Linked DNA regions of Rhinolophus ferrumequinum. The main gene of each other region encodes a partner of the protein of the gene in region 2 in a complex. Links are inferred from orthologs where the notes say so. Each region holds a gene or a part of one and is shown on either strand. Other genes may lie near its edges. The genes, in order: GEMIN2, GEMIN4, STRAP and GEMIN5.

What was found.
Region 1: GEMIN4 (region 2) and GEMIN2 share a complex: the UniProt entries of both Homo sapiens proteins name them as parts of the SMN-Sm complex. The link is inferred for Rhinolophus ferrumequinum from reciprocal best matches to the Homo sapiens genes GEMIN4 and GEMIN2.
Region 3: GEMIN4 (region 2) and STRAP share a complex: the UniProt entries of both Homo sapiens proteins name them as parts of the SMN-Sm complex. The link is inferred for Rhinolophus ferrumequinum from reciprocal best matches to the Homo sapiens genes GEMIN4 and STRAP.
Region 4: GEMIN4 (region 2) and GEMIN5 share a complex: the UniProt entries of both Homo sapiens proteins name them as parts of the SMN-Sm complex. The link is inferred for Rhinolophus ferrumequinum from reciprocal best matches to the Homo sapiens genes GEMIN4 and GEMIN5.

What each region holds. Positions count from the first base shown.
Region 1 is NC_046289.1:86,467,712-86,475,175, reverse strand, and holds the start of GEMIN2 (gem-associated protein 2), read right to left. Parts: upstream 3,020-7,464; 5' UTR 2,928-3,019; coding exon 2,791-2,927; intron 2,392-2,790; coding exon 2,286-2,391; intron 889-2,285; coding exon 799-888; intron 518-798; coding exon 458-517; intron 1-457. UniProt on the Homo sapiens protein: The SMN complex catalyzes the assembly of small nuclear ribonucleoproteins (snRNPs), the building blocks of the spliceosome, and thereby plays an important role in the splicing of cellular pre-mRNAs.
Region 2 is NC_046304.1:16,944,372-16,951,859, forward strand, and holds the start of GEMIN4 (gem-associated protein 4), read right to left. Parts: upstream 3,017-7,488; 5' UTR 2,832-3,016; coding exon 2,822-2,831; intron 1-2,821. Other genes in the region: diazepam-binding inhibitor-like 5, read left to right, coding at 3,788-4,051. UniProt on the Homo sapiens protein: The SMN complex catalyzes the assembly of small nuclear ribonucleoproteins (snRNPs), the building blocks of the spliceosome, and thereby plays an important role in the splicing of cellular pre-mRNAs.
Region 3 is NC_046293.1:29,905,118-29,912,156, reverse strand, and holds the start of STRAP (serine-threonine kinase receptor-associated protein), read right to left. Parts: upstream 3,013-7,039; 5' UTR 2,688-3,012; coding exon 2,576-2,687; intron 1,837-2,575; coding exon 1,701-1,836; intron 1-1,700. UniProt on the Homo sapiens protein: The SMN complex catalyzes the assembly of small nuclear ribonucleoproteins (snRNPs), the building blocks of the spliceosome, and thereby plays an important role in the splicing of cellular pre-mRNAs.
Region 4 is NC_046307.1:25,753,419-25,760,692, reverse strand, and holds the start of GEMIN5 (gem-associated protein 5), read left to right. Parts: upstream 1-4,261; 5' UTR 4,262-4,352; coding exon 4,353-4,518; intron 4,519-5,267; coding exon 5,268-5,428; intron 5,429-5,935; coding exon 5,936-6,117; intron 6,118-7,274. Other genes in the region: MRPL22 (39S ribosomal protein L22, mitochondrial), read right to left, coding at 2,725-2,767, 2,849-2,912. UniProt on the Homo sapiens protein: The SMN complex catalyzes the assembly of small nuclear ribonucleoproteins (snRNPs), the building blocks of the spliceosome, and thereby plays an important role in the splicing of cellular pre-mRNAs.

The DNA.
Region 1 (7,464 bases), on a different chromosome or scaffold from region 2:
GAGAGCTTAATATTATATCTAAGCTGATAAAATGTAGGAAATACTACTTTCCGGTATGCATGACAGGCTTCAGTAAAAAGTCACTGGTATTGGCACCATTCTTTCACCAGGAAAATCCAATGAGCCTTTATTCAATCTTTTTGTAAATACTGAAAATGTGTTTATTTCCTAAAAAACAACTGTCTAGAAGAAACTTAAAAACTTGTAGGGGCCTAACAATTACCCATCCAAAGTCTCTGAAGATGTTGTGGATTAAAAGTGTCATAAAAATAAAAGCTTGCATTGCTGATTCTATACTTTTCAGGCTACTAATATAATGAAATTGTTACTATTAATGGTAGATGGGAGGGAATGAAAATTATATGGACTAGGTAAGTAATTTTTAAAGACTGGAAGTAAATATGGACAATTTCAAATAGGTATACACTGTATAACTTCAACAGAGAAACTTACATACCATGGTCACGTTACTATCCAACTGCTGTGATTTCCAGTGATTTCTATGTCTGTTCACACTCTAAAGGAAGAAGAGGTAGACAGTGATCTTCAGAGAATGGATAACTGAAAAGAAATAAAGTGCTGCACAACATTCTAACAATTCTACAACTGGGAAGATATGTTTCAAACTATTACATCTAGTCATTATAATAATAATTTGGTAATTGATTCTTAAATATTCTTTTCTTTATTCTTCAGAATCATGAACCTCATTTTCCCAACTAAAATCTAAGAACAGAAATAAATCTGAGGGAGGGAGGGGTAGTGTTTAATTTGATTAAAAGATTAAGGTACACTTACCTGTCGAACAACTGAAAACTGTGCCACTTGCTGCTGTTGCCACTGAAGTGTGGGGGAATATCCTTCAGGAGCAGGTTGGCATCCTGAAAGCTAGAGATCAGTTCATAATTTTTACCATCAATGTTAGTGTTATAACTAGAGTCTCATGCCCCTGCCAAGTAAAATCAATATGAACAGTGAACAAGAAAGTAAATGATTAAGACTGTACAAGAAAAATAAAGTACTTCTTGCTCATGCAAAAGAGCAGGAATTTCATTTTACTATTTCTGTGTGAGTTTAAAATGTTAGGAAAAGATCCTTATAGAGTCACTTTAATAACAGCAATCTGGAATGGTTTACAGTTGCAGTTTCTAAGAAATCTAAATGATATGAGTCTTGAAGACACAATCTAGCCCTACCTTTCTATAACAGCAAAAACAGTTTGCTATAAAAAAAAAGAGCTATATCCCAGATAAAAAATTTTGGTATAGTCAGAATGTACTCAAATAATTTAAGATATCTGACTTTAAAATGTCTACTTCTTTTTCCAAAAACAGCATACAGTTCACAACTGATCACACACTGCCTTGAAATAAAACTTTGTGAGGTCACTTTTTAAAGCCAGGTATATAAGACATCATCTCCCACCAACTAAAAACTTCTAAAAAGGAATTATATGAAATATTAAAATTTCCTAATTATAAACATCTGATAAGGGAATTACTTAGAACATAAAACGAAAAGGAATAATCACAATTTAAAACTGCTGCTTTCCTTTGACTTTAAATTAAATACTGCCTCCTGGGAGAGACCTTCTGTGACAATCTAAAGTAGTTCTACCTGAAAAAAAAGAAAAGTAATTCTTCTTGTTATTTATTGATCATTATATGTTAATTTTCTTCATATCAATAGTCACAATATGTAATTATTTCACTTGTTTGCTGGTTTACCCTGTCTTCCTCAGGAGAATGTAAACTCCACAAGGGTAGGGACCTTTTCTGTTTCATCATCCCTGGTTATATTTCTAGTGCCTGGCACAACCTACTTGCTTAGTAAAAAATGTGCTGGATAAATGAATGAAAATGTTTACAGTGTGCAAGTAGCTAAAAAAAGTGTAAGATATTTGGGTTTCTAAGTCTTAAAAAACAAAACATAATGAAAATTAGACCATGCAAACTGCACTAAGATTAAACAGTCCAACAATAATTATGAAGACAACTGGAAAAAGGTTACTTCAAAATAAAGGACAGCATAAGTAACCTATTTAAAGACTTCTTTAGGATTGGATCATGTCCTGAAAGTATGAAGAGCAAATCTCCATGAATGCCAGGGTTACTTAAAGCCTCTTTGGCGGCAGTAAATGTCAACTGTCCTTGAAGGGGAAAAAGTAATACAAACAAATGTCTAACTTCGTAGGGGCAGTCAAATTTGACCTACATCGTAATTGATACTGTTGGATACTATAGGAACAGCTTTGTTTTTTTCATTTGTAGTGGTAAAAAAGTCACCTGACGGGTAATAAAACTCACGGAAATATTCACACTTTGCTTCCTTTTCAACTTCTTTGGGTCAATTTGCGCAACCACGACATCTGGACATTGAGCTGCTTCGATCCTATAAATAATAAATGCAAGAAATGTAATTACTATTGAGTTTTGCTCATCTGCAGTTAAACAAGCTATCCATTTCTAAAGTTTATTATGATATCAGACAAAAAGTTCAGAATTGCAATTGAGGTACTAATTAATGTATTTCTGAAATTATATTGAAAGCAAGGAAATCTAAGAGCACACATCTTGCCATGTATAATCAAGTTTAATATAATTAAGTTCACTGAAACTCGTCCACCTAAAAATGCTAACAAGTGATCTTGCTCCGATCCGAACTTGCAGGAGGTTGGGGACCGGAACAGAGGCGGGGCTTTAGCAAACCTAGGGGTCCCGCAAAGCACCGGGCGCTGTGCTCTGGAGCAGGAAGGACGAACAGCCCACCCGCACAAGCCAAATCACTCACTGGACCCGCTTCAAGTATTCCTGAGGCGTCCTCGGGGGTACGGAGGGATCGAAACTTTCTGTCAAGTCGCAGGGATCCACTGGCAACAGCCGGGGCATCAACTCTTCCACTGCAGACTCCGCTGGTACCCACGCCATAGTTTCCAATCCAGCCAGTCCCACGTTTAGGTCACAGCGCAGGCGCACAAGTAGGCATCTTTGGCGCAGAGTGGAGCAAGCGGCGAGGCTTAGGGAGTGTTAATGCGCATGAGCAAACCTGCTCATTGTCTCAAGGTTAAGGCTCCGGTGGTGTAAGGAAGACTGCGAATTTAGTTCCTTGCGGGAGTGGTTCTGAGATGTTTCTGCGTGTTCCCTCTTTTGTCCTGTTCTCTCTTCCAAGGCTAGGTAGGGTAAAGACTGGGGCTTACTAGCCTTTAGGTATCCCTAGTAGCGAGGGATTCTTAAATTTTTTTTTTAATTAATGAGCAACATTACTGTAATTATCTTTTATTGATCTCTCAATTCTTAAACCCTGGCAGACAGGTCACATTTCCTCACTTAAGTTTTACAACCTCTTGAAGTAGGTATCATACCGGTTTCGTAAGGGAGAAAAATCGACCGAAAGAGTGGTTAAGTACTACAACCGTGACTTTTTCCCAAAGGGGAAGAGCCAGTTCCAACCCAGATTTTTCTGACGCCGAGTAAACGAAAAACCGATTTTCCAGAGGAATTTCTTGTGCTTGGCTATTTCAAAGATCACTTTATATTTGTCTGAAATGAATATCACTCCTAGAGTAGCCATCGCTTTTTTTACCCCCTCAGAAAGATCTCTTTGCTGAAATATAAGTAGTGCAAAGGATAAAGCTAATGCCAATACCCAGAAATCACCATTATTAATCTTAGGGCCAATCTTGTGAGGCGAATACTATTGTCTCCATTTTACACTATTGTCTCCATTTTACACGTTCTGCTTTGTTTAAAGCAGAACTAGTTTAACTTTAACTGGGTCATAAATTGCAAGAAATAATGAAAATATTCTATCTCAATCTTTCTAAACAAGCTCTGAGTGAATACAATTGACTTATTTCTAACGTTTATATTTATGACTAAGGCGTTGCTTTTTTTTTCTTTTTAAAGCACTGCCTTTAGCAATTGATTTAGAAACCAGAATGTAACTTACTTAATTGAAGATAAATAGTGAGGCTAGTCCTTATGTTAAAAACGAAAGACTTAGTGTGTATGAATGGTTACTAAGCAATTGGGAGACATGGAAAGACATTGCCTCACAGCAGTCAAAGTAGAAGTTATTTGGTTAAAAATGTTACTGATTTTGGAAGAAACAGACTTAGAGGGAAGGATTATGGAGAAATACTCCCATCCCCAAACTTTTTGGTAATAATCAAGAACAAAATAAGAAAAAATGAGCAGCGACTTTATTTCTGGGTTTTCTTATAAATATTTTTTTTTGGGGAAGCTAACTTATTAGCAATTCACTTCCCCTCACCCATTTTTCTGGAAATAAAGAACAGGTAATTACCAAGTAGACCAACGACCAGTGGAACAATGCTTAACACTGGGCTGCATATATACGACTGGTAAGTACGTGACAGAACTACACATGGATGAAGGAAGAAAAGAGAGGAATAGCAGAATGAACAAAGGTTGTTCTGGGAAATAATAATACACTATTTTACAAAAGACGTAAGTAATAAATGAATGATTCTGAAATGATTCTAAAATTTTAAATACACAGGCATGAATTCATTCAGGAGAGAGGAAAGTAAATTAAAAATTTATAAGCTTTGCTTTTTGTTACTTCAAAACTAATCTGACTTAAAAGAATGAATAACGAGTTTTGGAACAAATTTTAATATGGTTATAAGTTGGAAATTGAATTAAATATTTTTGATAGTTTCAGTAAGATATGGGACAGCGGAGGAGTAGCTATATTTGGTTGATGAAGTTATTCTGAAAAAAATGCTTAATTTTTGGAAAGCTGAACTTTTAAAATAATAACTATTTCATCTAAGCTCTCCCTAAGAAGAACCATTCCTAAGATTCTGAACTATTTCTGGTGCCGTTTTCAAAGATTTCCAGTTACTTCTCAGTTTACAACGGAAAGATTTTTTTGTATTTCAGTATTTCTTACATTGGTGGTTGGTTGTAGGAGTTATATGAGGGTTATGAGAACAATCAACACTGTTTATTGATGATGGTGGCATCTGTTAAGTCATCCTTACACAGGTAAGTGCAAATTTGTCGCTGTGTTTTATATCCCCTTAAGCAACCCAGTTATTCTCAAATTTTAGTGTATATAAGAATTATCTGGAAGAAATTATTTACAATACAGACTCCTGGGTTCTATAACTCTCTCCTCCAGAGAGGTCTGATTCTGTTGATTGGATGTGGGGCTCTGAAATTGACATTTTAAGAAGCATTCCAAGTGAGAGACACAGCTTAGGCCATCCATTTTATTCTTTCCCTTCCTATTCAATATCTACCGCACTAGAATTTCTTCTAAGCGTACTTTCTCAGTTCTTTTTACTTTGGCCACAGTCTAAAATTTCACTTGCCTTTTTATACCATGAAAATTTAATTCAGTCATCCAATTAATATTTATCAGTTTTCTCTTATGTGCCAGGCACTATGGTAGGCATTGGGAATTACAATGATCTTCTTCTCTCCTAGTGCTTACAGTCTAGTGGACAGAGAGATGTTAAACAATGATACAAATGAATTTTAAATGTTAACTGTGATAAGAACTATTAAGGAAAATCTTGAGGGGATGGGGTATGGAGGAGTCTTGTGGTAGGGAAATAAATGAAGACTAAGGAATAAGAACAAGCAAAGGCTATTTATTCAGAGCTTGCTATAGAAAGGGAGTCAGCCACTGCTACTTGAATTTTGGCAAAGACTCAAAGTCAGGAAGAGGAGTAGGAAAGCTTTATACTGGAAAAAGGGGAAGACTGTGTATGCGCTGGTTGGAGGCTCTTGGCTTGGGGAAGTTGGAGGTGGGCTACTATAGGGGAGGTAAAAATACTTTTCCTCTATCCTCTTAGGGCTTCTGGCGGGGCATAAGAATTAAACTGATATAAGACAGATTAACATTAGAAAAGCACACAAATTCTATTCAGTAATTTTAACATGTACATGGGAGCCTTCACAAGAAAAATCCAGGCCCAAAGAAGTTAGGGCCCAAAGCTTACATACTAGGTTGGACAAAGAATAGTAAATTGTGAACATGTAACATGACAAAGGGGGTTGTGCTAGGGAAGTTATTATAATTCTGGAAAAGTAACTAAGAAGATAAGGGTTAGTTGAATAAGATTTGTTTGTATAGCTTTATCTTGGCCTTGAATCTCCATTTCTAATGGTAAGAATGTTTTCCTTCCTTCTGGTATAGGGAGGTGTACCTTTCACATGGGAGTATTATCTCCTGCTTTCAGGAAGAAAAAGGAAGGTCCAAGCACCCATCTTGCATCTGCTGTTTTCCAAGTACCTTTAACTTAAAATAATATGTCAAAGTGGCATATTTTGGGGTGGCATGCTCTGAACCCCTATTCTACTTAGAAGTGGGACACCCTATGAAATTGGTTAAGGGTGTGTATTTGGTTTTCTTTGGTTGGTCCTAAATTGGAAACAGGGAAAAAAATTAGGAAATCTGTCAATTATTAATCAAATCCTGACTATTTTGGGACAATTATTACAGGGGTTATTGTTTGGCTTCTTGGATTGTTGCTGGAGATACCACTCTGACTTCCTGTAAGTTTGACTTATTGCAGGCTGGTTTCCCAGGCTAGTTACTGTAGAACACTGGTTTGATTTCCTGGGATGGTTGCTGCAGACTGTGGGTCGGAGTTCTAGTTTTCCACTTATGGTCTGACCATTGCCCATTTGTATATTCAGTCTCAGCAGGTAGAGGAGAGTTTGTTCAAGGCCTTAATTGCTGGAGGAAGTAGGTTCTGTTGGAAAAATTGGAAAAAGGTCAGTATGGTTGATGCATAGAAAGTAGGGGATGGATGGTGCTGGACAGGGTTCTGAGAAATGGAGCTGTATGTATATAGTTAATACTTATGGAGCATCCTCTTTCCACCAGAACACTCCTTAGTCACATGATTACTGAAACTGGAAGATGTCTCAGTAAGAGGGTGTTAGAACTAACATATTTATTATAGGATTTGGGCTTTGTTTGGTGATTTGGGGACAGTGGAGCTTTGCTGTCAGGAAATGGGGATAATTCTGAGCAGTAAGCTCCTGGTTAAAAACTTATGTGTGATTTTTCAGGCCTGACTTTATGCAATTACAAAGGCTTTACCTGGCAGGCTTCACAGGGGAAAACTGCCCTCCCCACACCAGACTTGGTGCATCCAGCCAGTGCATGGCGGTCTCTGAAGGGAATTGCAGTCAAGGGCTCAGGCCCCACTAACCCGCCATGCTCTTATGCATAGCTGCATTCCTGGCCCAGGTGTCTCTATTTGGAGGTCTCCTTACCTGGAAACTTTCCAGACTCAGTATCCAGACTTTTCTATTCCTAATACCTCTCCATCCCCATTCCATAAATCTGCAGGAGCTTTTTGTTTGGGGCTTCTTCAAGAGTGAGAGATCTCCAGACTTCCACATTTGTGCCCATCCACCTGACCCTCAACCAGTGCGCCATTCCATGGGGGTAACAGAACAGGGAGAGTTAGCGCTTTCA
Region 2 (7,488 bases):
AATGGGTCCAAGAGCCGCTGAAGAGCTGGAGTCAAAAGGACTTACCTGAGGAATAAAGGACTCCCAAGCTCTCTAGCTTGGAACTGAGAAGACAATAGGTACCATTGGAAATTTGGAACACAGGAGAATGAGGACAGGTTTAGAGGGAACACAGTTCAGTTTTGGTTATTTGGAGTTTGAGGTAGAACATTAAGATAGAGCTGTCCTCCAGCAATGGAAATGCAGGTTTGAAACTCAGGAGGAAGATCAGCCTTGAAGTGTGACCCAGAGGGGATCACTGGAACCAAGGAAGTGAATGGATCCTGCAGGAAAAGCATTTGAACAGGAAAAGCTGGACTTCTGAGGCTAGACCTTCCAGCAAAGGATGGGCCAGCACAGGATTCGGGGAGAAAGGGTTTAGAGAGATAGCACAAGGATAGTGTCAAACTACAGGGGCCGCCAAGTATGTATTGCAGGTATGTATTGCAGGACCTGACAACCAAGTTTCTAAGTGATGATACAAACTAAAAGGCGCATAGCCGGAGGGCTGTGGGAACAGAGCCAATCAGACAAGCCCTACCTTCCCTGCTTTCTCTCCTTTTTTTTTTTTGTTTTACAGCCTGCTTTCTCTCATAGCCTTGTCCTGCAAACAGGTTTCGGTCGTTCTGCCTTTCAGGAAATGATTCACCCCCAAAGCTCCTTCAATCAAGGAGCATAGGCTACTCATGGCCCTGGTTCTCTGGTAGAAACCAAGGGACAGATACAAAAGCTACTGCACTTACATTAAGAAAGGCCTCCCTTCAGTGAGCCATGAACTGACATGGACTTATCAAGGAAGGCATCTTGGGAATTTAATCAGACATGGTTTAAATCCTAGCTCAGCCATTTAAAAGCTGTGTGTGATCTGGGACAGATGACTTCTCTGAGGCCCCCCGCCTTCTGCACATGTGGGGATAATACAGACTTCATATGATGACTGTGAGAACCAAATGATGTACACTAGTCAAGCCTTTGGTAGTGGGATGGCGCTCACTGTTAGCTCCTGATCCCATCTCCCAGAGATGCTGAAGGTTAAATAAGAGAGAGCTCCAATAATCAGGCTACAAAGAGCCTGATGAAGTGCTCCGTAAATGTTTTGTTTCCCCAAACCTTTACATTGTCCGCAAGACCAGAATCTTGTCATTACTTCTTGCCTCCCCAGCTCAGAAACAGGAAAAAAACATAGCTCTTTCTCAGGTGTTTCCTTTGTCCCAGAAACTAAATCAGAGTACAAACACTGCTCACTGTTCAATAATCCTGACTGCTCTCCCCTTTCCCAGGGACCAGAGATGCCATCCCTTCCTCAGTCCCTCAGGCCCCCAAGAACCCATCATCCCAGGCAGGGAGCCAATACACTCCTGATTCCAGCAGACTAAAGAATATCCTGCTCCTTCGATCATTTATGGGAGCAGCAAAAGGCCACAGGATCAGCAATTCTATGCAGCCCAGTGCTGAAGGCAATTCATCTTGGCTCCCAGTGGCAGAGGCCCACTCCCAGGGAGGGTCAGGTGGCTAAGGGGTCTCTCTGGAGGTTCTAGAATTTCGTTCTGGCTCAGGCAGCTCTCCAGAGAGCCAAAATATGTTCCCTATGACTCTGTAAATTGAATTTTATTGCACTATCAGCTCACCAGAGATGTTTGGCCCATAACATCTACCTTCCAGAGGCAGTAAGGACGCACCCGTGCTACTTAAAGGAGTAAGTCCCAGGAGCAGTTAATAGCTGGATAATTACCAAGTATTTTATCACTACTGATTAACTGGTGCTTGTGAGTGCCCACTCCTTTATATTTATCAAGTGTTTACTCTGTGCCAGGCATAGCACTAGGTGGTACGCATGTAAGATCTCTTCTAATCTTCAAATCAACCTTTTGAGGACTGTAGTATTCCTGTTTTAGAGATGGGAACATTGAGACTCAGAAACAATTTGCTCAGGATGTTGCAACTACAGAGCAGTTCCACCAGGACAGAAATAAGTCACTACAGCTGTAGGGCGCCAAACTCTCACAACCCTACCATTCCACCACGTCAGAGCTGGCTGGGGTCAGAGACCACAACTTGTCTTCACAGCCTAGTCCTCTGGCACAGCTTGGGGTGCCTCACCCAGCTCTCCCCGAGCAGGCTCCTGGTCTCAACCCCTTAGGAGCATGTCCAGAAGCGTGAGAGGCTGGGCAAGGAGCCACTGATTTATGCCAGCTCCTCCCTCCCTTCTCCCAAACTTTGCCTCCGAGGATTCTGAATCACGGTGCCCGTGCCCTCTCTGCTGCTGCAACCCCTGCCCACAACTGCTAGTCTAATGAACGCCAGGTACGCGCATGGGGCTATAACGGACGCTGTACACACGTGGTCTCAAGGAAAACTCCCTAAAACTCTGAGGTGGATACATTATCGTCCCCGTTTTATCGATGAGGAACTCATGAGCGTAAAACACTTGCTCTGGAACTTACTAGACGTTCAATAAAAGAGACTGTCTGGGCATCCGCGATTCCCCTGGGCGTCCTCCCAGCCCGGCATTTTCCAAAGCACGTGTACGAACCCTCTCCACTTTCAGGAAATCAAACTTCACCTCCGCTTGGCCCTTCACTTGGAAAGTGGCCTGAGGGGGCAAGAGACCAGCCAAGGAGTGGTGGGGCCCGCGCTAAAGCCCGGCCTCATGGCCCCCAGTCTCCGAGGACACCCCCGACCTCCACACCCCCTCCCCGACCCCCGAGGGCCTCCCTTAGCCCGGGCCCGCTCAGAACCGCCCTCCTGCCCGTTGCGGGACGCAGCACAGCCCGGCCAGGGGAAGGGGAGCTGGGACACCCACCTAAATCCATGGCGGCGTCGCTGGCGGCGGCGCGGGCCGCCCCTCCCCCTCAAGGTGGCGAGTGCTGCGCAGGCGCCACGGCACAATGGACGGTGCCGGGGGGCGGGGGGTCAATAGGCTGGGCCTTAGTCCCGGCCCCCAGTCCCTGCTCAGCTTCAGTTCAGCGCGATCCGCGGTAGACCGCGCTCGGCTCCGCGCGCACGCGCACTCCTCACCAACGAGCCCTCAGCGTCGAGGCGGCCAAGCCCACAGCGCCCCCTACCGGCCCTAGACCTCCAACCCGCCAGCCGGCCGGTACCCACTCCGCCCTCCCTCGGTGGGCGGCGCTTCTACCTCTCCCCCGGCCCGGCCCCTTCCATTTTCAGTCTCCGCTGAGCCCCCCATCTGTCTAGTCCCCTGCCCAGTCCTGCTTCCTGATCTCACTGGGTCCCACCCATTAGCTCCGTCCCCGGCCTCGCATTCTCGATTCCCCCGCACAGAGTTCACCCACACGGAATGACCCTCCCCGGGCTGCCCACTAACCAGCACCGACGCGCCACTCTCTGACAGGCTTCCTCTCCCGGACTCACACCCACAAACCGCCTAGCCCAACAGCCTCACAGTCGCCCCCAGAGCTCCTCTTTCAGATGACAGCAGCAGCTCCTTAATTTTCTGGCATCATAGACTCTTTTGAAATGTTAATGGATTGTCCTCCCCAGAAAAGGCACTGTGCGAGCCACAACTGTGGGGGAGATCCATCCAACCCAAAAGGCCCCAGTCTGCAATGTGTACGTACTTTATAAAAACGCACATTTGATTTCTCACTGAGAACACACAAATATCCTGGGTTCTTCCCACATTACCCTACCTCCTCCCTTTCCCTTCTTCCCAGACTTAATTCTTCAGCCTGAAGTGTTTGTAACTCTCCAGCTTTTAGCACCAGATATCACCTAGAAAAGACCGAGGGGCCCAGCCTCAGATCCCTCAATGTGCCAAGCGGAGTTTGAGATGGCCTGCGCCGCTATCAAGCAGTTGAAGGGACCTGTGAGTGATCAGGAGAAACTGTTGGTGTACAGCTTCTACAAACAGGCCACCCAGGGCGACTGCAATATCCCTGCCCCGCCTGCCACAGATGTGATAGCCAAGGCCAAGTGGGATGCATGGAACAAGAACCAAGGGATGTCAAAGATGGACGCCATGAGGATCTATATTGCTAAAGTGGAAGAACTGAAGAAAAACGACGCTGGTTAAGGGGACCAAGTGCAGAACAGAATGAAGTAGCATGGCTCCTCTGGTGGGGAAAAGGGCTTCTTAAGAGAACTTGAGGGTTGAAATGTCCCGCTGAGACATCAATAAATCACTTAAACTGCATGAGAGTGAGTGCTGTTGGTAAAGCAATAAACTCAAGAGTAAGAGTCCTCGGGAGCTGTCCAAAAAGTATAAAAAGCATCTCTCCTCTAGGGAAAATTCCATCAAAACAGGCTTTTGGTATGATTCTAAGTAAAGAGTTCCCAGCCTTCCTATTCCCAGATTATATGGAGATATTTGGCAGGAATGGGGGTGCGGGGAAAGGAAGAATCACCCTATGAAAATGTCCAAGGTTTGAGGTCAGTGAGAGAGGCTCAGCTTCTGGCAAGATGGGAGGAAGGAGAGGAGGCTGAGGCCCCTATCTGTTCAGGGGCTGTCCCTTCACTACTAACCCAATATTATAAAGGAGAAAAGGGCATTGTCTTCCAAAAAGCTCAAGTCAGGTCCTACTACTAAAAGCCCCTACTGGAATACAAGCCTGATGAAGTTAATGTCTTGAGGGAAGTCAGACTTTTAGTGAAGTAACTGATACAACACAGCAGTTGAGAGACACTGGAACAGATGGTTTCAAAATTCCAGCCTCTGAAAGATTCATCTAAGGCCTAGCAACCAAAATTTTCTTGGGACTATTCGTAGCTAATCATGGTTTCTACTTGGGGATGTTTGTGGGACAATATGGACATGTATGTACATGAGATTTGTTTTAGGGGCACAACCCACCTCTTGATCCATGCAAGGGCCAAACTGCCCGAGCTCAGCTTCTGCTTCTTAGTGATTATAATGGAGGCATCAATGCAAAATGATGCACTGCGCTATGGAGTCGTAAATGATATTATTAGAGACATTTCAGAGCAAAAGATCCGCTACGGTGTAGAATTTTCCAATACTTCAATTAAAAATTATTTTCATAGATCATGACCTCAGGTTGGCTTCAGTTCATGACGAACCATTAAACAACATAAGCAACAATTATACATACTTCAGAGGAAAGTCAAAGGAAACCAAATCTCACCAGGTATCAAGATATTCTGTTCACATATTTGCTATAGACTGAGTATATTACCTACGAATGAAGTCTATACCCAGGACACCACAGCGACTAAAGAACGATTCCTTATAACAGTAAACTGGGCAAGAACCACACAGTACAAATGTTAGAGAATATTATGAACACATTTTAATGCTTTTAAAACCATGATTCACATTAAGTGTGAATAGTAAAAATAATGGAATATTTTGCTCTAAACTATGGTGTCAATTTAGGAGCTGCAGATATAGCCATACCATTCTGTAAGTCACTGTAAAACCTGATAAAGTAAAAATGTAGCACAATTGTAGGATACTTTTTTTTTATAGCAAGGTATAGCATACACAGCGCGCTGAATTTTGTGGGGGAAAGGGAGAAGTATGTATTTTGATGCTTAATAAATAGTGGGATTGACTTTTCATTGTTTATTGTTTTGATTTTTGAACCATTGACTCCATTACCTCACAAACAGGTCTGAGGCAAGCGCACTTCTTTATTGATCATTTAGGCCTGCATACATTTCCTATGTATTTCCCAGTAACGGTAATAAAATCTTAGACCACATTGGAACTTCCCATGAACTCCTACCATACATTTCAGTGGACAAGTTTGAGCCCTCCTGAAAACTCTGCTAAACCGCAATGGCATCGTGTGATAGGTAGGATGGGGCAGAAAGTCACATAAAGGAGCACTCAAGGTCCATGTCTTTGCTAATTCCACCAAGATATCCGGCAGTGATGGATTTCATACTAACTAACTCTCCAGGTTAACCAAGGAGAACTCTGGCAACACAGCCATTCTAAAACTCTGGATGTAAACTCAAGGGATATTTGAACTTATTAAACTTAATACACTAGGACTCCACGACCCTTCAAGTAAAAAACAATGATTACTCTGAAAAAATAACTCTGGAGAAAATGAAAAAATTTCCAGCGTCATCTGTTTAAAAACATCAGCGTGGACAAAAGCATTTCTCTTATAACTTTGTTTTCTAGTTGATCACACCATTTCCAGAGGTGAGAAAGTAATCATAACTTTTGGTTTAAAATTACTAGCTGTACTGTGCAGAGGTAAACTCTGGATTCCTTTAAAAGGCCAAAGTTGTATGTGAAAGGGTTTTAGGATGAGTAAAATATTAAAGATTGCAACAAAGGAAAAATGACAGGTGATGAGATAAATAAAAGAGGGCCGGTATCATAAAGCCCAAATATCCCAGGTAGGTAAATTGCACCAACTTCTATCATGCTAGCTGTACATTTAAGAGAAAAAATCGGGGGTATGTATGTTAAAATACAAGATAAGCAGACAAAGAGGAATCTAGTATGTGTTTAGTCATTCAGTACTTACATAAACCACTTATTTTACTGTAACAAACTTAGAAGGCCACATCACAGCATCCTAAAACACGGGGAAAAGTAGTTTCTTTTCACGAGAACAGTATTACTAGAGATCAACATCAAGATTTACTTAATACTCTAATAGAAAATCTGAGAATTAACAAATCATAGTCCAAAGAGACACAGAGGTTTATTTGGTCATTCAAAATTCGTACAATAATTTCCCTACATACAGGAAAAAAACGGGAACCAAATGTCTGGAGGACACATAATTTGGTTTGCTTTGAAACTCATGATAGCTTCCCTAAGACAGAAAATTTAAGTCGAATGAAAAGTGCCTTGAAGCTGGAAAAGGATTTTTTTCTCCCAGAGAAGGTAAGATCACCTGTAAGAAGGTGAGCCAAAAACCCTGAAATTTCCATATCCCACCTGCCAGCAAAGGAGAAGAGGAGAGACTATGATTTACAAGTCATTTTTATACACTCGCATTACTCTGGAACTGGTATCCTCTGAGTCAGTCCTTTCCAAGCTCCTCAGTTTCCTTCCTAAAATTTGAACCTGGCCACCACTTCAAATAAGGAATCTTACAGGTTGGTGTTAACAGCTTGATTTTAGAAGTACATCTTCAAAACACATTTAATAATAAATATGTCCAATATAATTCTGTTTCCAGTGATTACAAAATTTGTTCTATAGAACAAAACAGCAAACTATAGGAAGACATTAAAAAAAAACCTTTTTTCAGGCTGAAGATATCATTTATTCCAAATTCAACATGTTCTCTTCTTGTGAGGTTTAAAAAAAAATTATATAAGAAAACAGCATAGAGCTAGGCAGGTAGCACAACATATTATTAGATTCTTCCGTCTGTTTTCTCTGGCTACGTAAACTTTTAAAGTAAGGAGTGTGTGGGTGTTAACTAAATCTTTTGGTTTGAGGACATAATTTCTTCAAAAATGTTTAAATGTCAAGGCGTGCTAGAGTGAGATGTTAGCACAGCACAGTATCATCAGATG
Region 3 (7,039 bases), on a different chromosome or scaffold from region 2:
CAATCAAAGGAGTCTCTGTCACCTTATAGGCACGCTGACATCTAAAGCAACATATGACCTAAAGCTGTCTGTTGACATAAAATGAACTTATATAAAACCAAGCATTTCCCTATTTTATCAATATTACGTACAATCGCAACAGGGCTCAGCACAAGCCTCATAGTGGTGATGCCTAAAGACATAATAGCAATCTACTCATCGATGACACACAAAAAAGTTTAGACTAACACAACTTTTCTTACTGATCTCTTACCATGTCTAATTTAATCCCATGTAAGCACTACATCTCCCTCTCATTTTAAATTTTCATTTTTAAAATTTGCATACAGTAAAATTCACTGCAGTATAGAAGTCTTTGAGTTTCAACAAATGCAGTCATGTATCCACCACCATCACTCTGCCTTTGTTTTTCATAATAAACTTGGTACGTTAATTTGTTCAAAACAAAGGAGCAAAACATTTACAATTGCTCCTCAGTGTGAAATTCTGTCTTAAAGACAAAAAACCAACAAAACCACTTTTACTCTCCTGACTCTTAAGTCTTACAAAGTCTATTTTATACGAACGAGTACAATAGATCTTGATATTGCCTTCATTAGTTTAAACATTTAAGTATCTGCTAAGTCACAAATACACTTAGAAACTGGAAATGCAAAGATTATACAAAATGATACACGCCCAGAAGGGAAAAATGGGTCATTGCAAGTCACTGTAATAACATATATGCAAAAACCAAAAATCAAAATAGGTAATATAGCTAGGTTGTAGGGCATATAGTATGCAGTACCAGATGATGCTAATGAACTAGGATGCGGCCGAATCTTAAAGTGCCAACAACTGAAATTTAATCCTTAGGCCAGTGGTTCTAAAGCTGCACATCAAAATCACCTGTGACAACTTTACGGGGGAAGAAACCAAACTGATACTGGGCACTCCATCCCCAGACTAATTAAATAAAAAATTCTGAGACATATGCATCTGAGTATTTTAAAAGATCCCCAGGTTATTCTAATGTACACCCAAGGTCATGAACCATTGAAATAGCAGAGGGAAGACAGGAAGATCACTAGATAAAGAAGTGACATAATGAAATTTGTTTTTAGAAAGACAACTGGAAGCACTATGGAAAATGAATAGACCAGAGACTAGTGACAGGGACCTGAACTAAGGCAGTGGCAGAGGCGTAAGAAACATTGTAGTCAGGAGGCATTAAGATGGTATAATCAACAAATACGAAGATAATCTGGATATAAGGGAAATATCAAGAACTTAAACTTAGAAAATGAAGAGCAATTGATGGAAGTTTTAAATATGTCTAAAGCCAGTTAACAAAAACTGAGAGTGAGATCAGGCTAAAAAGTCTGGGGCCGTTAGCAAGAGAAAGTCATAGGAGTTTATAGGTATCACTCAGGAAGCACAGGTGGAGCAATATTTCTAAACATGACCCCCAACATTTACTATCTGCAGTGCTCGTTAATAATGCAGATTCCCAGGTCCAGACAAGCTAAATAAATCACTTAAGTCTCTGAAAATTGTTAAGAACCACTGAAGAGAAAGCAGCAGACAGGACCACGGTGCAATTTTGGTGAGAACAAACATTCATATGCATTGAATTAGAATTTTATAACAGGCTGAAGTTTGATTATTTCAGAACACAACCCACAGAGATCCCCAAAGCTGGCCATTTTGGCTATACTTACGCTGTGAAATCTGCAGCTGCTGTAGCTGCTTTGGTGGCATCCTTATTCAATGTTGCACCCCAAACAGCACCCTTATGACCCACAAATGTTCCAATCCAGTCTCCTGTATCTCCCTGGCGTAGCATAGGCTTACCGTCTAAAAAATATTTAAAAAGACTTGTGATTTATAAGTTCAAATTACTTAAAATCTATGATTCAAACATAAAATCATGATGAATAACCAAGTGGAAAAATTGCTTTTGTTGTCTAAACTATTTTCACTGGGGTCACTAAGGAATGTTCAGAAATAAATTACAGGTAACTACATACGCGTACAACTAAACTAACTTCATAAATTAACTGAAGAACTGAGCCAGAGATTCTCTCTGGGATGCATCTGTAATTTGGTTAGAATACTGAATTGCAACAGAACAATCTAGAATCGAGTCTTATTTTGGACAAACTTGTTAACTTAAATCTCAGTCTCCATTTGAAAAATGGGGCTAATACCACAACGGAATATCCAATGACATAATATGAGGGACAAGTCTTGGTAAAGTATTCCTTCATCTGGTCTCGTTTCCCCATTGCCGAAACCCTTGAAAGATATTTACAGTTTGGCGGCCAAGGTGTCTAGGCAAGTTTACAGTTCTGCTTCTCCAGAAATAGCAATAAAAGTAAAATGAGCAGCCTTAGTTGGAGGCAATACCTAGCCTTGTCGGAGGTGTCAGAAAAGCTTCCTCTGGCTGCCGCTACGGAACCCCTAACACTACTCTTTGACCGTCATCTCAAAGGTTGAGATGCCCACAACCCCTCCGGCACTGTGGAGTTCCGGCTCCATTCCGTTTCGGCCCAGTCCCAGACGTCTGGAAACCAGGATCAGCAGCCCTGCTCACCTTTACAAGCGCTGATTAAGAAGTAGCCATAAGGCGTGATACCACTGAAAGCCAAATCAACCACAGGCCGCGTGTGGCCGGAGCAGGTGAGCGGGGTCTGCCTCATTGCCATGGCGGCGGCGAACCAAGCTGGCGGGCTGGGGAGCCGGGGGTCTCGTCTCCTTCTTTTCTCTCCTCAGTTGCAGCGTCTCTGGCTCCTCAAGGCCCCCGCCCTGACACTGGGGCTGGACCGGAAAACAGAAAAAGGAGGCCAATCCAGTGACACCGAAATTAGGAAAAGGTTAGGGATGGGTCAGGGAGTCTGCGACGGGCCACCCACAGCCGCAGAAAGAGGGAGAGGGAGGGAGGAAGGAAAACAGGGGAAGGGGAGACTCGGAGAAGCCCGGCCACGGCCCGCACCGTCCACACCGCTACCGGCAGGAAGTGACGATTCCAATGACGCTCAGCGTCCGCCGGAAGTGATGATACAGAGGGAAGGCGAGTTTGCCGGGTAGAAGAGCCCTAATGAGCCAGTAGGACAGCAGCGCGCAGGCGCGAGATCAGCGCACGTAGGGCACGTGATGCTCGCCCCGCGCCGGCTTCGTACGGCGCCTGGAGATGGTCTAGTCTAGGCGCTTTCGCAAAGTCCCACACGCTGAGCTCTGACCAGGCGTAAACGGCCTTGTTATCGCCGTGTCGAGTTCACCGGGTACGAAAGGTGTCCCTGCTTCGCCGAGACCGTGGACCAGCCGGCTCCCGTGGGTTACGCACCAAGCAACACCACCAGTGGGACTGTGGTCGGTACCTGGACAGAAGGACAGTAAAACCCGAGTTTCTCCCCTTACGGCGGCCGGCCAAACCTGCAAACAAAGTCTAAGAACTTTTTTTTCAATTTTTGTAACAACTGTATAAGCAGCTTCCTCTGGGATTGTCTACAAGTAAGGCCCTTAAAAAAGTAATTTCCCCAGCCACTCGTTCTGTTATGTGACATTCCTGTATTGCTAGTGTCTTAGACATGAGTGTTATGTCGCTTTAAATACAGTTAAATTCCAATTACTTTTCCTTTGAGGAATTCGGAGTACCCTAGAGCAGTGGTCCCCAAACCTTTTTGAGGAAATATTCGCATTAATAAAAGTTGAGCCTGCATTCCCGATATACAGATAACTGTAAATTACATATACATTATAACGAACAAAAGAGTAATATTAGAAGACTGGAAAAACTGAATATAAATGAACTCTGGTACTGTCTTCCTGCAGGCAGCCCGATTCAGTATTGCTGCTCCGTGTATCAACCAGAACTGTTGATTGATTGCTCATACAAAAGCTTTCCTAAGCAGGAAAGTTGCTTTCTTTGGGAATGGTGTTTCTTTCCATTGATGATATAATTTAAACCGGAAATAGAGATTTTTGTGAATTATCCCTGCTTTATCCCCAAGGCCTTAATGTCCTGGCACATACCAATAAATATTCAACTAGTACCAACGTCTGTGAATCTTTCCTTCTCCACCATCATCTTTTTTGTGCTGAACATGTATCATTCACGATTCAAGTCCAATGACTTGAATAGGGACTTGAAGTGCTTCCCGAATTTAATTCCTTAATTAAATTCCACAATTTTGTTCATTTATTGTGCCACACTTACTGTATGTGTTTCTACATGATATTTTAGACACAACACACCCATACACATACTCCATTCACACACCTGAATTATGAGCTCTTTAATGGCAATGGTTATGGCTTTGTCATGTTTGTGCTCTAGTACCAGAAGAGTGAATGGCATTTATTCATGGATAGTGTGTCCTTAACAAATGCTCGTTTACTGATTGTGTAAATAACTGCGTTACTGATGGAGGTAAATAAAAAACACAACGCAAATTAAAACAACTATTTGGTAAACTATTAATATTGCCCATATATTGCTCATTGTATGCAGGTAAACATATAACTGATAACTACTTTGCTCTAAAGAATGTATAGTTCCTGTTCATTTGGATTCTGAGTTCTAAAAGTATGTATAATGATTAACTGGCTTCAAAGGTCAGTTACTATTAGAAGACAGATTAATGCAACTAACATAGTTACCACATTAGAAGACTAAAAGAAAAATATTAATATGTAAAAAGTTTTAGATCGAATTCAACCTCCATTCATGATAAACTTCTAGATATTAGAAATAGGAGGGACCTAATAGAAGATCCTAAGAAACATCACACCTAATAATGAAACACAAAGTATTTCCTATTAGGTCGGGTACAAGTGAGTGCTGAAAGGAAAAGGGAGTGAAGTAGGCAGGGAGAGCCTTCAGGCCATAATGCTGGCCTGATACTTGTGAAAGGGTGAGAAATAAAAGAGAATCGCATAGAAAGAGACTCAGACTACAATGCAAATCTGAAAAAGTCTTGTCCAAGCAAATGTCTTGCCTAACTCAATAACACATTACATTGGTGAGATATGGGACTAGTGACCACACATAGCCACAAGAGGGTTTGGAAAATATAATCTAGCTGGGCATCCATGTCAGGAAGACCAGGAAAATAATTTGAGTGTGTCAAAGTCTCAGACAGTTACCTATTTTGATTTACTTTCTTCCCTTTGAGTTACATCTTTCCTACTGCACTCGGTGTTTTTCCCACTTTTTTTTTTTTAACTGTTGTGAGTCAATTATTTTTCACTGTTTCAAATGTTCTTTTCATATTTATTAACCTAAAAAGTTACAGAGGCAGGAAGCATTTATTTGAGATTAAAAAATTGCAATTCTGGGAAGCAGTGATTCAGGCAGATATCGCAACAGTGTTACAATTAGAAAAGGAAAGCAAGGGTATTTATGACAAAAGGAGGGGCAGTAATTACATGAATAGAAGGACAGATTTTCTATGGGTGTTAAGTCCAGGAAGAAATTTGTATAGGTACACATATACTAAGTTATTCTTTAACTACACATGGTGGTGCTAATTCTAAAAAATGTTTTTAATTTTCAGTGTGGTAATCAGGATGTATACTTTCCTTTTAGTTTTGCAAACACTTATTTGGAATACAGTGTTGCTTTGGCTCAGTCCAAAGGTTATTTTGCCCATTTCGAACATTCCGAAGGTTTGAGGAGTAAGACATGCAAGCAATTCCTCTGGGATGGTGGCTCCAACTCTGTTTTGTAGTGGCTCCATTTATATTCTTTTTCACACATTCATGCTTTTATTTTTTTTATTCAGTTTTTTTCCCTTAACTCTGTCTTTGTATCTCCATTTGTTTTCACATTATTATTATTATTATTATTATTATTATTAATATTATTTTGGTCTCTTGTTATAGAGTTCATCTTTTCATATTTTTAGAGAGTGTCAGGAAATTTTTACACATTTCACCTTTTTTCAGTAATTATTTGTCATTTACATTTATGTTTATTTTGTTTAAAAACAATACTTTTTTAAAGGAAAGATCCCACGTCACTCATCAGTAGATGGTGACAGTTGCATTAATTTGGTCTGTTACTTGTATAAGAACAGTGTCAGTGTATTCTTTTTGATTCTCCTCTGTTATTACAAAGTGTTTTGGCTATATATTTAGAACTTTAGCTAGAAGAATGAGTATTAGTTTATGATTTTGAAATGAAATCAGCCTCTTGTGGGGTGAGAAATCTCAAATTACATGTCAAGTCAAAGACAGGAGACTGAATATGAATACTTTTGGTTCTGCTTCTACCCTAGAAAGATCAGCTGTCATGGTTTTGTGGATAGAGGTAGAGATAGAGATACAGATAATTTGATGGGATAAAATGCGATCCCCCTACCCCATCATCCACACTTGCCTGAGAGGAAATATTACATTGTCAGAAAAGAATCCATTAGAGCTGGTACCATTTTCCCTAAATGATTCATAAAGAGTGATTCTAAACTAAAGTGATAGTTCTAGTAATATGGATATGCTCGGGGGAAAAAATCAAAAGATTCATATCCAGGAATTCAGGTGTTATTTTTTTCCCAAAAGAATAGAGTCAAAGTCACATCAGTATGAAGATTATACCTTCCTCATATAATGCTAGGTCATGTTGTGTTGGGAAGAAAATTAATACCCATGGAAGAGAGTTGCCCTTGTTCTTACGTTAATCAGGCGAAGAATGGCAGCAGCACTCAGTGATGGAGAGATCAATCTGGAATCATATCACTCACCATCTTTATCTCATAAAACCAGAGCCCATGGTGTCACTGAAAAATTCCTGTGTTTCTCTGGCAAAACCCAGGCCAAGGAAAACTCCATCACCATCTGGACAAAGCTTGTGTGATTTACCATACACAATGATGTGGTTCCTTTCTTATCTTGGGAGAAGTTGAATTTCCCTGAGAAAATAGGTGGGGACCCCTAGATGGTGAAGGGTTAAGCAAGGTCTGTAGGAGGAACGTTAGAGTTTGAGGAAATAGAGTTCGAAATAAGTGGCGGCCATCTGAAGGCCTAAATGCTGAGGGCTTTCCCTCCCTCTCTCCATCGG
Region 4 (7,274 bases), on a different chromosome or scaffold from region 2:
TCTACCCTTTACTTTGGAAAAGTCTCTTACAAGTGACTTAACTAAATAGAAAAGGAGGCTGATTTATGTTTCAGTTTCTTATCTTCTGGCTAAGTGTTCTATAGAAGTAGGGCTGACAGATGAAATATGCAATCTCATTTAAGAGTATTGAGTGGTTACTGATTGGTTCCAGCATAATATCTGATTCCTTGGAAAGAACGTCATGACGTTATCATCCCTGTCCCTACATCTACCTACACAGTACCAGGCACTACAACAGACATTTTACTATTGATTCTCTCAATTCTCACAACCACCCTCTAACGTAAATATTATTCTCATTTTTTTGAGATGAGGAAACTGAGCCTCAGAGAAGTTAAGTAAAATGTTAAGGGACAATATTTGTCCCTGGTAGAGACCAGCTCTATCTTCTGTAGCCCACTGTTTATTCAAATACATCACACTGCAGTAGTCATTTTTCCACCAAACTGCTAATGCACGACATTTTCAACTTTTTCTTGTGGGGAGTTTTAACCTATGTACATCTCAGTCACTAGTGTCTTCAAAGTTTTACACTAGCCCTTCTATTTCTAAACCACCAAAATGTATTCTTCATTCAAAACTTAAGTCACCTCTTCCCAAAAAAACTCCCCAGAAAATCTCTTCTGAGCCCATCACTCTCTCTCTCACATGGTGTGGGAGAACACTAGTGAAAGCCAGAGAATTTTTTGTTTATTCCTAGGTTTGCCATGTATTAACTCTGTAACCTTTAGTAAGTCACAAAACTTCTCAAATGCATCCATCAGTAAAATGGGAGAGTTGGAATTCAACAGTTGGAAAACTGCCAGCCTGCTACCAAATATAGCCTACAGAAAAGTTTTATTTGGTCAGCAGCATTGTTTCCTTAATCCAACTAAAAGCCTTCATATGAGGAATGCACTCTACGGACTGCCGTAGGCCCGACCACTCTCTCATTTTACATGGACCGCTTCTCCTAATTCATTTATTTCTATTATGTGTCTGGCAGCCATTAAAGTTTCCAATCTCTGAATTAGATGATCTCTAAGATTTTACACAGTTATCATGAGCATTATTTATACCTTTTCTACTTAGTTTTTATGTGATCATTTCCCATTAGAAAATCCAGAATAGGGATTCTTATAATTATGTAACTTCAGAACTAGAAAGAGCCTTAGAAATTATCTAGAAAAATCAAACCGTCTTGTATGATAAGGATAAAAAGACTGAAGCCAAATTGCTTAAGTTACTTGCTCAGAGCTTCCCAGTATAAATCAGTGCAGGGCAATTTAAATCAACAAACAGTAACAAAATACTCACTTTGCGCAAGACTCTATGTTGGAGCTCAAAAAAAAACCAAGAACTGACCCTACCTGTCCAGGGGACATAAGCTAGTAAAAGCTCACAGACACGTATACGTGAAGCGACTATTCAAGGCAAACATGCGAAAAAAGGAGAAATTTATTTCATTTTTAGTGAGAGCTGAGAAAACCTCCTGAAGGGGAAACATCTGAACAGGATTTTAAATAATCAGGAGTGCTGTGATAGACAGCAAGTGAGGGTCGAGCATGAAAAAGCCAAGTGTCAAGTAAACGCACAACATATTCAGAAAAAGTAAGTAAAGCAGCATGGCTGGGATGGAGTGATAGAAGATAATCTAAGAAAGCAAAGTGTAGACAAATTCTAAGGGCCAGCGCCCACTATTTTCTTCTTTAGCCCGCCTCATCCTCCCCCTGACCCAAGAACCCAGGACAGAGCTAAAAGTAATGGGAACTCAATAATAATTTATAACAATAAAAAACAGCAAGAGCAGCTAAAATTTAGGGTGGGATTATTATATGCCATACACTGTATTACATACTTCCTATTATTCAATCCTCATTTAAAAAAATCTCACGTAGGTAATAATACTTCCATAGCATATGAGAACTGAAACTTAGAGATAAGTAACTTTCCCCCAAATCACACAGTTAAAAAGTAGATTCACACATGACTTAGCTGTCTCTAAAGCGTATATAAACCAAATAAAGGCTAACAAATGCACTGATCAGCAAATTTACAATCAAATTATCAATCTCCAAATATCGATCACTGTACTGCAAAAGAGGGACAATGAAAAGGAGAAAGGGAAAGGCTTCTTTTGAGTCCTGACTCAACTGCATTCCTGAACCTTAAAGAACAGTTTTGTCCTGCGGTCAAAGGACGCTCTGAGGGTAGTATAAAGCTTCAAAACTTCCTATAACTGGGGGACCTTAGGCAAGTTATTTTACTTTTTGGAGCTCCAATTTCCTTGTCTGAAAGATGGGTATAGCAGTATATATACTGCATAGGATGTTATGAGAATGATATAACGCATATAAAGCATGTCATACAAGGCCCGAGGTAAGCCGCGGCTGTCTATAATAGTCCCGGCTCGAGTAAACAAATAACGAGAGAGATAACTAGAAAAGTTGGATGTTCCAACATGGCTGGGAGAATCTAACCACGTTCAGAAAGATCAGAAGAGACTGTTCAGAAAAGACATTTACAATATCCCTTGGGTAACAGGTCATCCCGATCCCTTGAGGGCTATGCAATACGGCGGCAGAACGATAGGGTGACAAAGCAAAGACTAGCTGGCACCTCCATGGCCCCAGAGCCTAAAGCAGAGCCTGGCACATAGGCTCTTAGCGATTGACAGACTGGTAAGGAGGCCTTGGGCCCTTCTGCTACTCCGAGGAGACTTACCCCACGGCCAGCTTCCCCCTCAGATTCTGCATCCATAACGTACCTGCAATATAACACAAGCCGTCAACGCAGAGTCCCACTTCCACTCCCTTCTACCGCCCTTTAATCATTAAGAAACTCTTACCCAAACGTTCCAATATTCCTGCCGCCATCTTCCTCCCACCCTCTACGGAAGCCTCCGAGTTCATGCACCGTCCGGACAAGACGCATGCGCAATTCCCCGCATTTCCTCCCCAGCTGAAAACCCAGCAGTACCCGCGGTGTTGTCATGGAGACTACAAACACGCTGCCGGCGCTTAAAGTGTGATCAGCCTAACCTTGCTTGGGAATGAATGATTTAACGAAGGCCGAAAACTAGTGAGTTTCCGGAAATTCACCGGGATCCAGAAAAAATGCGAAACCTCACCACACAAATGGTCTGAAAGGATTAGGAAAACAGACCGTGAATGAGCCACCTAACCTGGGTGGGCCTCAGGTTTACTAGCCAGCAAAATAGTCAGAAATAATTATCCCTACAGCACAGTTTTGTTGTAAGATTACTAGAGATCATGTGAAAAGCTCTTTTAAAAAAAAAAAGCAGTTCAAATACAAAGTATGATGTCTTAATCCCTATTAATTTCCAGGTTGACCTACAAGAGATAAAAATTAATCATCGGGCACTTGCTACCATATATGTCCAGCAAGCATTTCACTAAATCTCAAATATTCCTCACAGCAGCCCAACAAGTCATGGATTATCATCCTCTTCAAATAAAAAAACAGATTTAGAATAGATTAAAGTCTCTTAGATAACAACTGGCAAAACCACGTAGTAGTCAATCTAGATTGGAAGGCTCCAAAATTAGTGGCCCTACCCACATCCAAATATATGTCTGACCTTTCTATTATTTATTAGATCTCTCAGGTTTCGTTTGCTACATATGTGGGAGTGCCAGATAACCAATGCAAACAAGCAATACAGGCGTAAGACAGCGTAAGCGCAGAAGTCTGAGCATTTGGGCATGTTTGATTTGGAAGGACACTGCCATTCTTTTGCCTCCACAGCAACTTAAGTAGGCATCTGGTCAAATCAAGAGTCACTCTATTCTGCAAAAGAACCCAGAGCCTGCATTTCCCAGTTGCACAAACTCTTTCCTTGTTGATTTCTGATTCGAACTTTTACATTTTTGTTCATTGGCTTCTTGTAGGAATCTTTAAAGCATCTTCAGAACTAGCAAAGTGCCCGAGCACACAGTGTTCAACTACTGATGAGACAGTAATTGAATAGGTCCAAAGAAAAAACCCGCGGTGAGAGAAGGTGATTCCACCAGTCTAACCCCTTAATTATGTACCTTGGCTGTAGGAGGCGAGAATGCCTAAGCCCAAGGCTAGGCTCAGGCAGCATCAAAGCATCCCGCCGAGGGCGAGGTTGGGAGGCAAATCGCCCAGAACGCGGCCCCGCCCTTCCAAGCTCCGCGGCGGCGGGAGAGGAGCGCGTGGTGCGGCCTGGGCCTCTGCGCGCGCCGTAGCAGCAGGCCCGGGGAGGCGGGGCTCCACGCTGACCCCGCCCCCTTCCCAGTTACAGCGTGGGGCGGTGAACGGTCTGTCCTAGCGGCTCTTTCCCTCATCATCCCTGGTGGCCCGTGATCATGGGACAGGAGCCGCGCACGCTGCCACCCTCCCCTAACTGGTACTGCGCCCGATGCAGCGATGCTGTGCCCGGGGGCCTTTTCGGGTTCGCGGCGCGGACCTCGGTCTTCCTTGTCCGCGTGGGCCCGGGCGCAGGCGCGATCCCTGGGACGCCCTCCTTTCGAGGTAACTCATTACCCGTTTCCCGCTTTTCCTGCACTTCTGGTGTTCCCCTGAGGCGCCGATGGGTGTCTTCAGCCATACCTCCGCACAGATGGGGAAAGTGAGGCCCCAGCAGGGAGAAAGGTTTGCTCACAATCCCCGAGCTGAGTCCTGTCCTGATCTCCCAGTATTGAGCTACACCACGCTGTGCATGAGCGGTCCCACCTCCCGGCGCTCTCACGTGGGCCTGCTCGCTTACTGAAAAGTTATCCAGCTCTAGACCCAGGCACTTGTAACATTTGTAGCCTTCCTCTCCCACCCAGTGCGGGCAGACCCCCTAGGAGCCTCCCTGGGGTTAGGAGCTGCTTACAGCGCCAAGCCCTAAGCAAGATCCTGCAAATATTTGATACTTGTTTCTTTCAGATTAGAAACTAGATTTTGATTATTCCTTGGGATATGGCAGGCCAGATAGTTATTCTATTCCAAACCACCTTGGCCAGATCTAAGAATCACATTCTTCATTTGAGCTGCTCCTCAGCCTGTGAACTAGGCACATCAAGGGGTATCAACAACATTTTACAGTTGAGAAAACAGACTCGATGGGATAAAATGACTCAGGTGAAGTCATGTGGCAGAGCCAGCACCAGTATTTGAGGTTTCTGGATGTTTGTGTTACACCAGGGGACAAGTGAGATCCCACACATCATCTAACAGTGTGGTTCTGCCGGAAATGGAAGGTAGCACTTTAATCTGAAGTCTGATTTTGCTTGAAGTCATAGGGGAGTTGGTGGGACACACCGAAAGGGTCTCTGGCTTCACGTTTTCTCCTCACCCGGGTCAACACAACCTCTGTGCCAGCAGCTCCGATGATGGGACTGTGAAAATCTGGGATGTCGAGACAAAATCAGTGGTGACAGAACATGCACTCCATCAGGTACCATGGCTTACTGTTATTACATAGCTGTGCTGAGGGTTCTTTTGCTTCAAGTATAGTTTTGCTAGCTCACCTGTGCAAGATAACTTTTGTAATTGTGTTCATTAGATAAGAAGCTCTACATTGTAAGAAACTTTTTAGGAAGGAGATCAGCGAACTAATTGCACTGCTGCCTGTTTTTTTGGAAACTGTTTTACTATAATACAGCCACAGTCATCCATTTAAATATTGTTCACACTTTAAGTATTGACTATATCCACAGAGTTGAGTTGAGTTGAGTTTTAACAGAGACATTGTGGCCCACAGGTCTAAAATACGAAAAAGACTCCTGATATAAACTATAAATGAGTGAACCAGAAAGTTCTTTCTAAACCAGATGATTACTTTGTATACCTGCCTTTTGAGAGAATGTGGGAAAAGAGTCACTTAATCTTAGTAAGAACTTTGCATTAAGCTATTAAAGAAAGAAATTATTTTAAATGACTCTATGTTGGTTTTGTTTTGAAGCATACAATATCAGCATTGCATTGGTCTCCTCGAGTAAAGGACTTAATAATATCTGGAGATGAAAAAGGAGTCGTTTTCTGTCACTGGTTTAACAGAAATGACAGCCAGTACCTCTTTATAGAACCCAGAACAATTTTCTGTCTTACTTGCTCACCTCATCATGAAGATTTAGTAGCTATTGGGTGAGTACTATACCATCTGTATTGATAACTTATTTTTGCTTCTGATTGTATTTTGCATTTGCTTTACCTTCCCCTGTCCCTTTATTCCTCAAAGGAAACCATTTACAGGTGTTAACCACTCCCCCTGAGCCCTTGGTATCATTTATTCCTGTGACCTCCAAGTCCTTACCACCTCTCCCAGTCTCAGTTTTTGTTTCCTTGATTTCCACAATACTGTAGTTTTCTCGTTCTTCACATTTGATTTCTCCAGTCAACCTCCAAATGTAGGAATTATCCTCTTTTAACTTTTTCTCCCTCTGTACTTGCCTTTGGATATAACATTTACTACCAGAGAGTCAAATGACTCAGCTCTGTCCCTCTGTTTCTCGGCTCTCCCTCTAGATTGGGAAAGTGATCTGGCATTGGGATTTGACTCCTCATTGGTCACCAAGGTGATTTCACACGAGCTGCCTGAGTGGGCCTCCCGCTTTCTCTCACCACTCCATTTACTTCTCTCCCAAAGATGTCCATTTCGTCTCGTTTGAAAACTGGTTAAACACTAGAGTGTTAGAAGAGAAGGTCTGACTGGAGTGGATTCAAGAGACTGGGGGGTACGGTAGTAAAGATACACATGGAGACCACGCTTTCACACGGTTGTAAAGATATGCATTGACATGAAGCCAGAGGGAGTAATGGGGGTCAAGGGAGTAGTAAACAGAAGATAACAAGGGCATGTTTTTATACTGATGGAAATGAGACAGAAAGGGGAGATCTTGATGCAGGGACAAATCGTGATAAATATAGGAGCAATGTTGAGAAGTCAAGAAGGGACTGGACCCAGATCACAAGTAGAACAGCTGAGACTATGGGAATGGGTACAGGTATGTGTGTAGTTCTAGTTGGAAGAGGAGGGTGCTTCATTCTGATGGCTTCCGATTTTCTCTGAGGCATGAAGTCAGAGAGGTGGAGTCAAGTTCAGGGTGGGAATGGGACTGAATGCAGGAATAAGGTATGAAAACAGTCATCTCAGAGAACAGGACAGTGAACTTACAGAGGGAAATGCTAGGCCCAGTGGTCCCTGTTGAGCGCCACGCTAAGGATCGTGGTCATGACTTGAAACTATTCAAGCCGGTTGAGAAAGGAAATGGTTGGATTCAATCAGGTTTGGAGTTCTGTGA